3 linked regions of the Danio rerio genome follow. The protein of the gene in region 2 purifies or fractionates together with the protein of the main gene of each other region. This does not show direct contact. Links are inferred from orthologs where the notes say so. Each region holds a gene or a part of one and is shown on either strand. Other genes may lie near its edges. The genes, in order: sqstm1, mtor and akt1s1.

Evidence for each region.
Region 1: the proteins of mtor (region 2) and sqstm1 purify together in Homo sapiens (affinity purification with western blotting; 4 studies listed by BioGRID, with this or other methods). This does not show direct contact. The link is inferred for Danio rerio from reciprocal best matches to the Homo sapiens genes MTOR and SQSTM1.
Region 3: the proteins of mtor (region 2) and akt1s1 purify together in Homo sapiens (affinity purification with western blotting; 8 studies listed by BioGRID and IntAct, with this or other methods). This does not show direct contact. The link is inferred for Danio rerio from reciprocal best matches to the Homo sapiens genes MTOR and AKT1S1.

What each region holds. Positions count from the first base shown.
Region 1 is NC_133189.1:19,144,572-19,147,640, forward strand, and holds the end of sqstm1 (sequestosome-1), read left to right. Parts: exon of another isoform or gene 1-92; coding exon 93-424; exon of another isoform or gene 425-503; coding exon 504-645; exon of another isoform or gene 646-1,098; coding exon 1,099-1,179; exon of another isoform or gene 1,180-1,292; coding exon 1,293-1,471; exon of another isoform or gene 1,472-1,523; intron 1,524-1,581; coding exon 1,582-1,780; intron 1,781-1,879; coding exon 1,880-2,040; 3' UTR 2,041-2,490; downstream 2,491-3,069. Other genes in the region: mrnip (MRN complex-interacting protein), read right to left, coding at 2,644-3,069. UniProt on the Homo sapiens protein: Molecular adapter required for selective macroautophagy (aggrephagy) by acting as a bridge between polyubiquitinated proteins and autophagosomes.
Region 2 is NC_133183.1:56,043,867-56,048,187, forward strand, and holds the start of mtor (serine/threonine-protein kinase mTOR), read right to left. Parts: upstream 2,831-4,321; 5' UTR 2,772-2,830; intron 1-2,771. UniProt on the Homo sapiens protein: Serine/threonine protein kinase which is a central regulator of cellular metabolism, growth and survival in response to hormones, growth factors, nutrients, energy and stress signals.
Region 3 is NC_133178.1:28,981,391-28,985,717, reverse strand, and holds the start of akt1s1 (proline-rich AKT1 substrate 1), read right to left. Parts: upstream 2,887-4,327; 5' UTR 2,782-2,886; intron 1-2,781. UniProt on the Homo sapiens protein: Negative regulator of the mechanistic target of rapamycin complex 1 (mTORC1), an evolutionarily conserved central nutrient sensor that stimulates anabolic reactions and macromolecule biosynthesis to promote cellular biomass generation and growth.

The sequences.
Region 1 (3,069 bases), on a different chromosome or scaffold from region 2:
TACTTTGACCATACAAGCCTTTGAATATCTCAGATCTTTTGCAAATAGACATCTTCAATTAATAGCAATTATGTTATTTCCTTCTTTTTCAGAACGAAAAGAGCACAAACGTGATTCTTCTCCTCATGGAATTCCTGGGTTTCCGTTCACTACACCTCACTTTAGCCCTCCTGGTCCCTGTCATATGGGTCCATCTCCAATGGGGCCTCCAGGACCACCTCATATGGGGGGTCCTCCTCACCACCCTCACCCAATGGTGCACCCAGGTGTGACCTGTGACGGGTGTGATGGGCCGGTGGCTGGAACCCGTTACAAGTGCACCGTTTGCCCCGATTATGACTTGTGCCCCACCTGCCAGAGCAAAGGCCTGCACAAGGAGCATGCCCTCCTGCCCATCTTTCATCCTATGGCCAACGTGTTTGAGGTGAATAGCACTATTTTACTACATACAATACACTGCAAATGATCTGAATATTTTGGTTTGATTAATCTTTTGTGTGCAGTGGCTCCCTCGTGGGAAATTTTGGCGTAAGATGAGACACTGCATGTGGGCAAATGCTCAAGCTCAGGCTCAAAACCAGCCTCAGCCAGGTCCATCTGGAGCGCAGCAAAACCAGGATGCTCCTGAAAACCCAAATGAGAATGGTAAGCCAATCATTTAAAAGGGTCTATAGCAGAAGTCAACTCAGCTCCTGGAGGCTGAAGTCCCTCCAGAGATTAGTTCCAACCCTGAAACTGAGTAGGTTGTGTGTTTTTTTATAGAAAGAAGAGTGTTTCTACAGGTGGTTTGTCAATCCCACTCACCTGTGTAAAGCACACTTCAAATGTAAAGTTTTTTTGTAATGTGTCTTATGCAAGTGTCGGTTAAAGTGTCAAAATGATGGAGTGTGATTTCTACAGGTAGTTTTGTCAAGCCCACTTACCTGTGTGAAGCAGGTTTGTTTAATTAGGGTTAAAGTTAAACTTTGTAGAGCTGTGGCCCTCAAAAAACTGAGTTTTACACCCCTGGTCTATTGTAACAGGAGGAACTGGAACAGAATTGGGGCATGTCCAAAATTTTCCTGACTTTATTCTTTTTTTTTAATTATTATTTTATAGGTGCTACTGCCTCTTCTCAGGCTAACGTGGAGTACCTAAAGAACATCGGAGAAGAAGTGGCAGCCATGTTAAGCCCCCTTGGTAAGTCGCCTGCTTTGGTCTTTCCCAAATATTTGGTTCCAACACAATCTGATACTTCTTTGATTGGCATGTTAGGCAAAACCTCTGAAATAAAAGTGATTTTTCCTTTGTAGGCATAGATGTGGACATCGATGTTGAGCATGAGGGAAAGCGGACCAAAGTAACCCCAACTCCTCCTGCCTCCAGTGGACCATCCAGTGCTCGGAGTGACAGTGGTTCTGTGGGGCTTCTTTCTAGAGGCTCTGGTCCAGGAAGTCAGGCCACTGAAGAGAGCGTCAGTGAGGGAACAAAGGTAACAGATACCCTCTTAGCTGTAAAAGGCCTGATCGTCTCAAGTTTTCAACCTAGAAGGAGGCCACATATCATGTTAACGTTTATTCATTCTCTGTTTCAAAATGGCAGAAAGACCAATGTAGTGATGAGGAATGGACTCATCTTAGTGCTAAAGAGGTGGATCCTTCGACAGGAGAGCTGCAGTCTCTTAGACTAGAGCAGGACGGGGCAGATCTTCCAGCTCCACTAAATACTGCTTCTGGCACAAGCACCAGAGACGGTCCCACTGGTCTGCGCGAGGCAGCTCTCTACCCACACCTTCCTCAAGGTAAAGTGTATAATTATTTATGCCCAGTGATGTTCTCTATTCTAGGCTATCACTTTATATCAGTTGAAGCAATTCTAACTTTACTGCGCTCTCCTGCAGATGCAGACCCTAGGCTGGTGGAGTCTCTGTCTCAGATGCTCTCCATGGGTTTCACCGATGAGGGTGGATGGCTAACCAGACTGCTCCACACCAAGAATTACGACATCGGTGGTGCTCTGGACACCATCCAGTACTCCAAAACACCAGGACAACAGAAGTAGAGGTGGAGCACAGGAATACAGAAGACCTGGGCCATACTTAATATTTGAAGCTTCTGGCCTATTTTCTAACTTAGTCTTTCTATACTTTTAAAATGATAAATTTCCACAAATATTAACAATATCAATTACTCAGGTGACTAGTACATAGTTAAGTTCATCATTGGGCTTATATATGCAAAATGTTTGTCTTTAGCTTAACACTTGACATTATAAAGAACATTATTTTCATGTATGCATAATATTACGTAAAGGTTGTTAAGTAGAGATCTATATTTGTGCAACTTCACTTTATGGATTTTCTGTTTGCATAATCAATAAGCAGTTTCTAGATCAAGCATAAACCTGGAGGGTTTGTTAGTTTGAATAAACAGATGGAATCGGATTAATGTCGCTGTTGGTCTTCTAAAATTCCTGTCTTTTCTATCTACAATAAAACACTTCTCTAAAACATTCCTTGTGTTTTGGTGTTTTGGTATTTTGAAATGTACAGGACTAGTTATGAATACAAATGTAGATCAATGCTAATAGTTTAACAATTTATTATTATTTTAAGGAAAATATTACTTTTTTAACATTTTTAACCATCCTTGAAAGCAAACTTACCTAAAATGTGTCATCAAAGTCTTCATCTGTACAAAACAGTGGGTTTAAAGATAAGCTGGAATATGGTGCCTTGACCAGTACGGGTTTACAGACAGCATTTTCAAAGCCTACAGACTTTGTGAAGCTGGTGGTTGGACAGGATACATTTCCACCAACATCCTTCTGTCTGTTTAGAATGCCACTGTCCTTTTCATCTGCTGGACATCGGCGCTCTTCAAAATCCACACCAGTATCTGCTTTTGTGAAATAATGGATCTCAGTTTTCTTACCATTTTGAGATTCATAATCGTACACATCCTTGTCCTGAGTGGGGACGATGGTGAGAAATTTACTCCATTTGGAATCCTTGTTCTCAATTGTAGATTCACCAAATGTCTGATGAGAAGAAACAGAGGGGCTTTCGCTCTGGATGGGAAGGTGTTTGTT
Region 2 (4,321 bases):
TCGACAAGAAAATACGGTGAAATCACAGTATGGACTTCACTTTCTACTGTGAAGTTACACTATATGGCTGTAATTTCACAGTAATTTAATGTAACAAAATCACAATTACAGTGAACTGTTTGCAGTTGCTGCAAATTTATTGGATGCACATCCATGATGAGAATCTCCCGTTCCACCACATCCCAAAGGTGCTCTATTGGATTGAATTCTAGTGACTGTGGAGGCCATTTGAGTGCAGTGAGCTCATTGTCATGTTCAAGAAACCAGTCTGAAAAGATTTGCACTTTATGACATGGAGCATTATGCTGCTGGAAGCAACCATCAAAAGATGGGTACACTGTGGTCATAAAGAGATGGACATGGTCAGCAACAAATACTCAGGTAGGCTGTGGCGTTGACATGATGCTCAATTGGTACTGAGTGTGCAAAGAAAATATCCCCCACACCATTACACAATAACCGGCCTAAACCGCTGTTACAAGCAGGCACGTGCACACATAGGGCTCAACCTGTGCAGTGCACATGCCCTTTTCAGTCTTGGATAGAAAGTGCCCTTCCAAAACGATCTAAAGTACCCCAACAACCCCCTTCTCTTCTACCTCGGTTGTAATGAGTGGTTATTTGAGCTACTGTTGCCTTTCTATCAGCTCAAACCAGTCTGGCCATTCTCCTCTGACCTCTGGCATCAACAAGGCATTTGCGCCCACAGAACTGCCGCTCACTGGATATTTTCTCTTTTTCGGACCATTCTCTGTAAACCCTTGAGATGGTTGTGCGTGAAAATCCCAGTAGATCAGCAGTTTCTGAAATACTTAGACCAGCTTGTCTGGCACCGACAACTATGCCACATTCAAAGTCACTTAAATCACCTTTCTTCCCCATTCTGATGCTCGGTTTGAACTGCAGCAGATCATCTTGACCATGTCTACATGCCTAAATGCATTGAGTTGCTCCCATGTGATTGGCTGATTAGAAACTTGCATTAAAGAGCAGCTGGACAGCTGTACCTAATAAAGTGGCCGCTGAGTGTATATTGTTAGCATTGACAGTCATTTAGTTATTATTAATAGTATTTTTTTTTACTTTCTCTCATTTTTAATTTAGTTTTCATATTTTTAATATTAACTTATTTCTGTGCGATTTCTGGACATTATTGTTTTGAACACTTATTATCACCAACCACTGTAACTATACCTTTATTTAGCATCAATGTACATTGCTTTATTACATACATATGACAATTACATATGAAACTTAAATCGAAATATATTGGTAACAATGACATATTCAAGTATAATGGTCAAGACTATTATGTTTAGAGGTCACATTTTTAGCTTTCAAGCATACTTGGATAAATTGGATATATGCCATTGTTACCCATGTAATTAGATTTAATAGAGAACCAATATCATCACTGTCCTTACCGGATTCTAAATTTATATACATGACCTACTGACTCACTAACTTGGGAGCTAGGGAGCAGATTGAGATGCACTATATTTCAACAAATAATACCAAAATCTCATTAAAAGTCAGACTGTCGAAAAGAGGGGAAGTAGGGCTTTTCTGATATTCTATATGGTTTTACTTGTTTGCGATAATGCCACTTTGCAAACCATGACTACTGAGCAAGAGAGCAGACAAGCATTGTCATTAAAGTGAGTTCACTCAAAGATAAAATAGCTGGCATCATAGACTTCCATTCATTTGTTGCAAACCTGTTTGAGTTTCTTTCTTCTGTGGAACGCAAAGAAATACTGAATGCTGTTCTAGAGCTAAAGTTGGTTCTATATTCGCACATTCGTTCATTTAGAAGCCTCTATATTGTTTACCGTGTTACTTTAAATATTCGATCGAAATTAGCAGGCAAGTATGACTTCAAAACAACAGTATCACTATCTAATTGACTTTGAACAAAGTTGTACTTTGATAATCATTGGCTGCTTATATGATTTCCCTATTTAGAATTGGCAAAGAATACTTTTCTGAAATTATACTATTAAGGAGAAAGTCTGAATATCCGAATATGAAACCAACTTTACCTCTATAATGCTGTTGGGACAAAACAGCCATTGACCTACATTATTTCATCATATTTTTTGTTCCCATAATGGATATCAGAACATCTTGTTTAGTGTATTTACTTAAAATTAATGAGAGGAGGTAAAGGGTGAGGAAAAGTTCATTTTGGGGTGAACTATCCCTTTAAGTATCTATAGAATTCTTCACTCGTTTTAATTATTCTGTCCCATTAGACCACACTCTATTAAAAACGCCAAAATAAGGACAGCAGTGTCAGTTATGCTAGTGTCAAATATGCTAACAGTTACAGTAAATCTAATAGGGTTCATTCATAACGTGCAAGGCTCAGATGCTGACCACAAACTCAAAACCATACCAATTTAATGAACATTATTAGCAAATGAATGAGATTAAAATCGTCAGTTGATCTCCAAAATGCATGAAGAATACATAACCTACAACTCCCAAAGCAAATCCTTCTCCCTAGCTTATTTTCACGTACTGTTATCATTATTAAGACATGCTCGGCGGTTTCAAACTCGAATAAAAATTAAATTAAATTAAAATACTTATAGAAATAATAATATGTAACGAAACAAAACAATAACATAACGCATAGCTGTTAGCCAGAGGTGCTATCTGTAGCTATCATTTAGCACTTATGGCTGTTAACAGCTTACGTAATATAAGAATAATAGAACATTACAAACTGTTTTTATGTGAATTTAAAAATAGGCAATATTTCTTACTTGTACAGAGGGTTTTCCGCTAAATGTGTTACACTCGTGAAAACTGCACACTAGAAGGCGGGCACAACGACTGAGTGACGTCGCATCTGCCAATGAACAGCCATAACTGCCCAGTTGAACCAACCGTTTGCTCAGGCGGAATCAGGAAACACACGGAGCGTGAATTCCAATTCACATACAAGCCGTACGTACAAAAATTGCGTAGAGCAATGGTAACAGCATAGAAATACGCAAGAACAGTAAATGTTTGACGCTGCTCACCGATTGACGTTGACAAGTTTGTCTCAATATTTGCTTACAATACAGAGTATAAATTACAATGTTTGTCGATGAAAAAAGATATAAGGATGAGAAAGAAAGAACGAAAAAAAAATAAAGAACATGATACAATCTTGAGGGTAAAACATTTAAGAATATATTACAGTATATAAATTAAAGTCATTACAAAGCAAATTAGTCTTGTTTGCTTTATTATTTTTAGATAATACAATTAAATGTAAATAATGACTAAATTCTTGCAAAAAAAAAAAAAAAAAAAAAAAACAGGAAAATATGGTTTGGTATGAGTAAATTCCAAAACAAATTTGTGTATATAGAATTTAAGCATTTCTTTTAGTAGAGGCAGATTTATAATTACCAAAAATAATTTCTTTAAAATTAACAGAAACGTCTTGCTATATATTATCATTAATAAATGAGCCAATACGTTTTCAAAATTGGACAGCATAATTATAATTCCAAAATAAATGAAAATCAGTTTCAGTATGAAATTGACAAAATGAACATTTTACATCAACAGGGTGCGATAGTATGCTAAAGGACTTTTAGTTTGTCAGTAACCTGGGCTAAGCGCTTTCGGTGAACTGTATCCATTACAAAATGGCGCGTTTAAGGTTTGTTTTCTTTAAAATTCAGCTATCTCCATATATGTGTGGTATCCGATATAAAGTGGGTCTCAGATTGTACAAGAAACACTGCATTAAATTACATTTCCCCCTCCATGTCATTAAAATATGAACATTTATTTTACCCTAGTATATTCAATGGAGCTTCTGCGCTAGCCTGCTGATTCTGACGGGCGCGTGCCAGTTAACGGCTTTTTGTCTGGTTTTACGCTTGAGCAACTAAATGAATGCCAAAGTCTATTTAACTGATTGTATTTTAATTACATTACAACATCGATGCTGTAAAAGCAACCTTATAAAATGTAAAAAAGTCACATTAACCGTTAACCGGAAGTTTATCAGTATGGGAAGAAACACTAGCTTCGCATATACCGTATATGAGAATGAAACTTTTAAAAAATTTGTTTAATAGGATAAAATACTTTGATCTTGTTGTTGAAGAAATATTTTTGTTGCAAAGACCATATTTTTTCTAATTTTGTAATTTCTATCTTTTTTATTAGAAAAACTAATTTTATTTAAAAACATCTCTGTCGAATCAGAAAAGTACGCTTTTTTAAGAGGGAGATGATTGCTATTTTTAAAGGTTCACAAAACCCTCTAGTACTTTTTTTTAGATGTTAACAGATTTGTATGTGTTGAGCA
Region 3 (4,327 bases), on a different chromosome or scaffold from region 2:
AGCAACATTTCCAGGTTTTGATAAATAGTTTACTATTTGTTAATACTTTACAGTTAACTACAGCAGTTTTATTTTACTTTAAGAACACTAGCCTACCATCTTCACTTTTAAAAGTACACTTTAAACGTTGACTTTTTATTTATTTATTTTTACCTTTAAGAACAGTAGTGTTAATGTTCAAACTATTTATGAGTTTAAAGTGACTGACATTAATAATGGGAATTAATCTGCCTCGTCATTATGGTGGTACTTGGAGAGAATTTTTTTCTGAGTTGGTACATGATGAAAAAAGTTTGACAACCACTAGTCTATACCATTGTGAATGCATGTTTGCGTCAAAAAATATTGATTTAGCAGTTTGGAACGGGCAAATCTAGAGAACCAATAGACAGCATAAAAAACATTTCTAGTAAACTAGGCATTTGTACTGCAAGATATGATTCGAACGGTATTATAAACTTGGATAAAAATATCATGGTTTGATGGTCTCATGATTACTGCTCTAAAATATATTCTTTTTTTAATGTCTGGGTTAAAAACAAAAACTTTTTCCCCTTTGAACACAATATAATTCATTTTGAGAAACATTTAATGCATTTTCAACAGTAAACATGTCAGGCTAAATAATTCAAATAAATCATTGACTTCTGCTGTCTTCATTTGTTGAAAAAACACTGATTTCTGTAAAATTTAAAACGGCATCTTTGAATATCTTTTCTGCTGGAGATACTGTTGTCCTAAAAAATTGTTTTTTTTTTTAAATATATAAAAAAACAATCTTACACATACTTTAGGAATGATATAGCAGAATATTTTGGCAGTTTTAAAGGCTTGAATTTTTCAAACCATGCCTACTGTATGAGTACGTAAAACATGATGTATAGATTGTATTTTATTATACACTTTCTTGCAGATGGAATTTAAACAGTAAAATAAAAAAATACATCTTTCATGGTCATCCTTAAATAGGTTTATTTAAATTATAAAAAATATTTTGAAATCGTCAAATGTATAATTCACACCCTACATAAAGCCAATACAGGCTTTTGGAAAAAAAGACATTGCAATATTTTATTTACTACAATATATTGTGATATAAATGCAATTTGACCAAATGACTTAAATAGCTTGTGAAAAATTCATAATTTAGGATCAATTTGGGATTGATTGCTGCTGTAGGGGGTGTATTTGCGTAAAATATAGGCATATTTTAAAAATGACAAGCAAAGTTAAAAAAAAAAATTCAAACAAACTATGCTTTATGATTCTGATAGGGAGTCAAACAGTATTCATAAACAGAAATTAAATAATCACTGTATAATAACAACAACCCAACAATGTATCATTTTCATTGAGTAAATAATTATATAATGTACATTTAAGCTACAAATGTTCAATTTATTGTGCCCAAATTACTTAAATTTGCATAAATGATGACAGTCACAGGCCTTAAAACACATGCAAATAATAAGGTTAAAATTTAAAACGACTCCACTATGTTGTTAACTGTAATGTCTGGTCAACTATTATCCCAACTACATTGCAGATCCCTGCGTAGTGACTATTGCGCACTCGCACATTGTGATATTGATGCTGAAATTATATATTGTGTGCAGCCCTACAACCACAATTACTTTCTTTACCATGAATTTGTAGAATGTGGATATTATGAAAATGGGCGGTGGGATGGCACATTGAGTAGCACTGTTGCCTCGCAGCAAGAAGTTGGCATTTCCATGTGGTGTTTGTATGTTCTCCCCGTGTTCACGTATGTTTCCTTCCGCTGCTCTGGTTTCCCCCACAAGTCCAAAGACATGCGCTATAGGTGAATGGGGTAGGTTAAATTGAGTATAAAACATATAAAAAGTGTGTATAGGTGTTTCCCAGTGCAGCTGGAAGGGCATCCGCTGCGTAAAACATGCTAGATAAGTAGGTGGTTCATTCCGCTGTGGTAACCCTCGATTAATAAAGGGACTAAGCCTAAAAGAAAATGAATGAATGAATATTTTGAAACCTATAATGGCATGCCTTTTGATAAATGATGATAATAGTATCTGCTCTTGTTCAGCTTCAGATCTTCATAGCTGAAGTAGCAAAGGTTTTGTATTTGTTAACCATGCTCTGCAACAGGGACATTTCTGAGTGCCCAAAATCATGAACCACCCCCAAGTAAACAGGGACAGCTGCTCCTGCTATAATAAAATGTATATATAAAGTGATATATTTATATGCATATATCGAACTTACATGGGCGAAACAAACATGCACTTTGATTTGTAAGTGCAGATCAACTTGAAAACCTGTTTGGTCATCAAACTCGTCAAGTACTGTTCCTTAAACCCCCACTCAGATTGATAGCTACGCCTCCATTCCCTCACACGTGCAGCACACGTACACGTATGTTTGGGACGTACTCTTGTAAATGAGAATTAGTTTTTGTAAATGGCTAAAAGAAATATTTTCGAGGCCTGTTGTGCAGCGAATCTGTGCGTCTCTCGCATTTTCGGGACAGACTGGCAGCCAGGCTTGATTTCTGCAGCTTTTGTTTGTCACTGTCAGCTTTAATATGCACTTCATCAGCCAGTATTAGTAGCGAAGCAGAGGGTTTATGCACTACAACATGATCTGATTTAGAGCTTGTTGATCAGTTGACTGGTAAGTAGCCAAGTGAAATACACAGGCCAATGGGCTCCAGCATTAGCAGTGCTGCTAAAATGTATTATGCTTCATCAAAACTGCATCGGGTCGATTCGAGAAAAGAACAACGAGAAGTTGACTTACTCTCTTAATATCCTCCCGCCTCTACCACAGTCGTCCTTTTCTTCAAACTTTTACGCCCTCTTTATTCGGAGCTTTCTGCCCGTGCCTGTCTCTCCCCTAGACTCCAGTGCAGCGACGCTCACAGCGCTGTTTACAGTAGGAACGGACCAGGGTTGCCAGATTGCGCAGGAGAAACACGCAAATGCTTTGAAAAACAAGCTCAAAACAACCGACCTATTTTTCATGCCTTCTTTGTGGGGGGTTGATCGATTAGCATAAAAACTCAAAACACCTCAATTTACCAAGCGTTTTCAATGTTTTACAACCATTAACAACAGTTTATGCCAGATCATCATGCAAAGGACTCCAATCCTGAAATAGATTTTTTCACTTATATGTGTACTGTAGAAAACAGTTATTATGAATATGTGTGAAAAGCATTCTCAGTAATGGGTTGCAGCTGGAAGGGAATTCACTGCCCAAAACAATTGCTGGATAAGTTGGTGGTTCATTCCGCTGTGGCGACCCCTGATTAATAAAGGGACTAAATCAAAAAGAAAATGAATGAATGTGTGAAATGCAATTAACATGATACTTAGTTTGACATAGCTTTATGAGATTGTAAAAAAAAACTGCTATTGCAATATTTTTTGCTATATATATATATATATATATATATATATATATATATATATATATATATATATATATATATATATATATATATATATATATATATTTAATATATATGAATTTAATTTCAAAAGATAACTATTTAAAAAACTCACAATTTTACATTGATCTGCATAAAATATACACAATTATACAAAAATACACAAAATAATATCATTTAAAGCACAGATGAAAACAATTGAACAAAGATAAAAAAAAATAATAAACAAAACTGTGGTTTTTGGTGGAGTTATAACAGTATTGAGATATATAAATTTAATAATCAAATGTAAAATAACAGGGTCTTCTGTTTATAAATATATAATTTTTCAATGTTATTGTTATATAATTTATACACGTCTACTATAGACAAATTACCAGTTTGTAAACATTTAGGTTGCAAAACAAAAACCGGGAGCACTAGCATTTACAGCGAGGGAATAACATCCGATGCGGTACAGAGTTTGTTGCTGTTTTAGAGATAAGTTATATTGATTACATTCATTCATTCATTTTCTCTTCAGCTTAGTCCCTTTATTAATGAGCCGCCAACTTATCCAGCAAATGTTCTACTCTGCGGATGCCCTCTTGGCTGCAACCCATCACTGGGAAACATCCAAACATACTAATTCACACACATACATACGGCCAGTTTAGCTTAACCAATTCACCTGTACCGCATGTCTTTTGACTTGTGGGGAAAACCGGAGCACGGGGAGAACATGCAAACTCCACACGGAAATGCCTACTGACCCAGCCGAGGCTCGAACCAGCGACCTTATTGCTGTGAGGAGAACATGCTACCCACTGCGCCACCATGCATCTATATTGATTACATATTATATATTATTTACATAATGCTTTCAGCGTATTATAACAGCTTGTCACCCAGTGA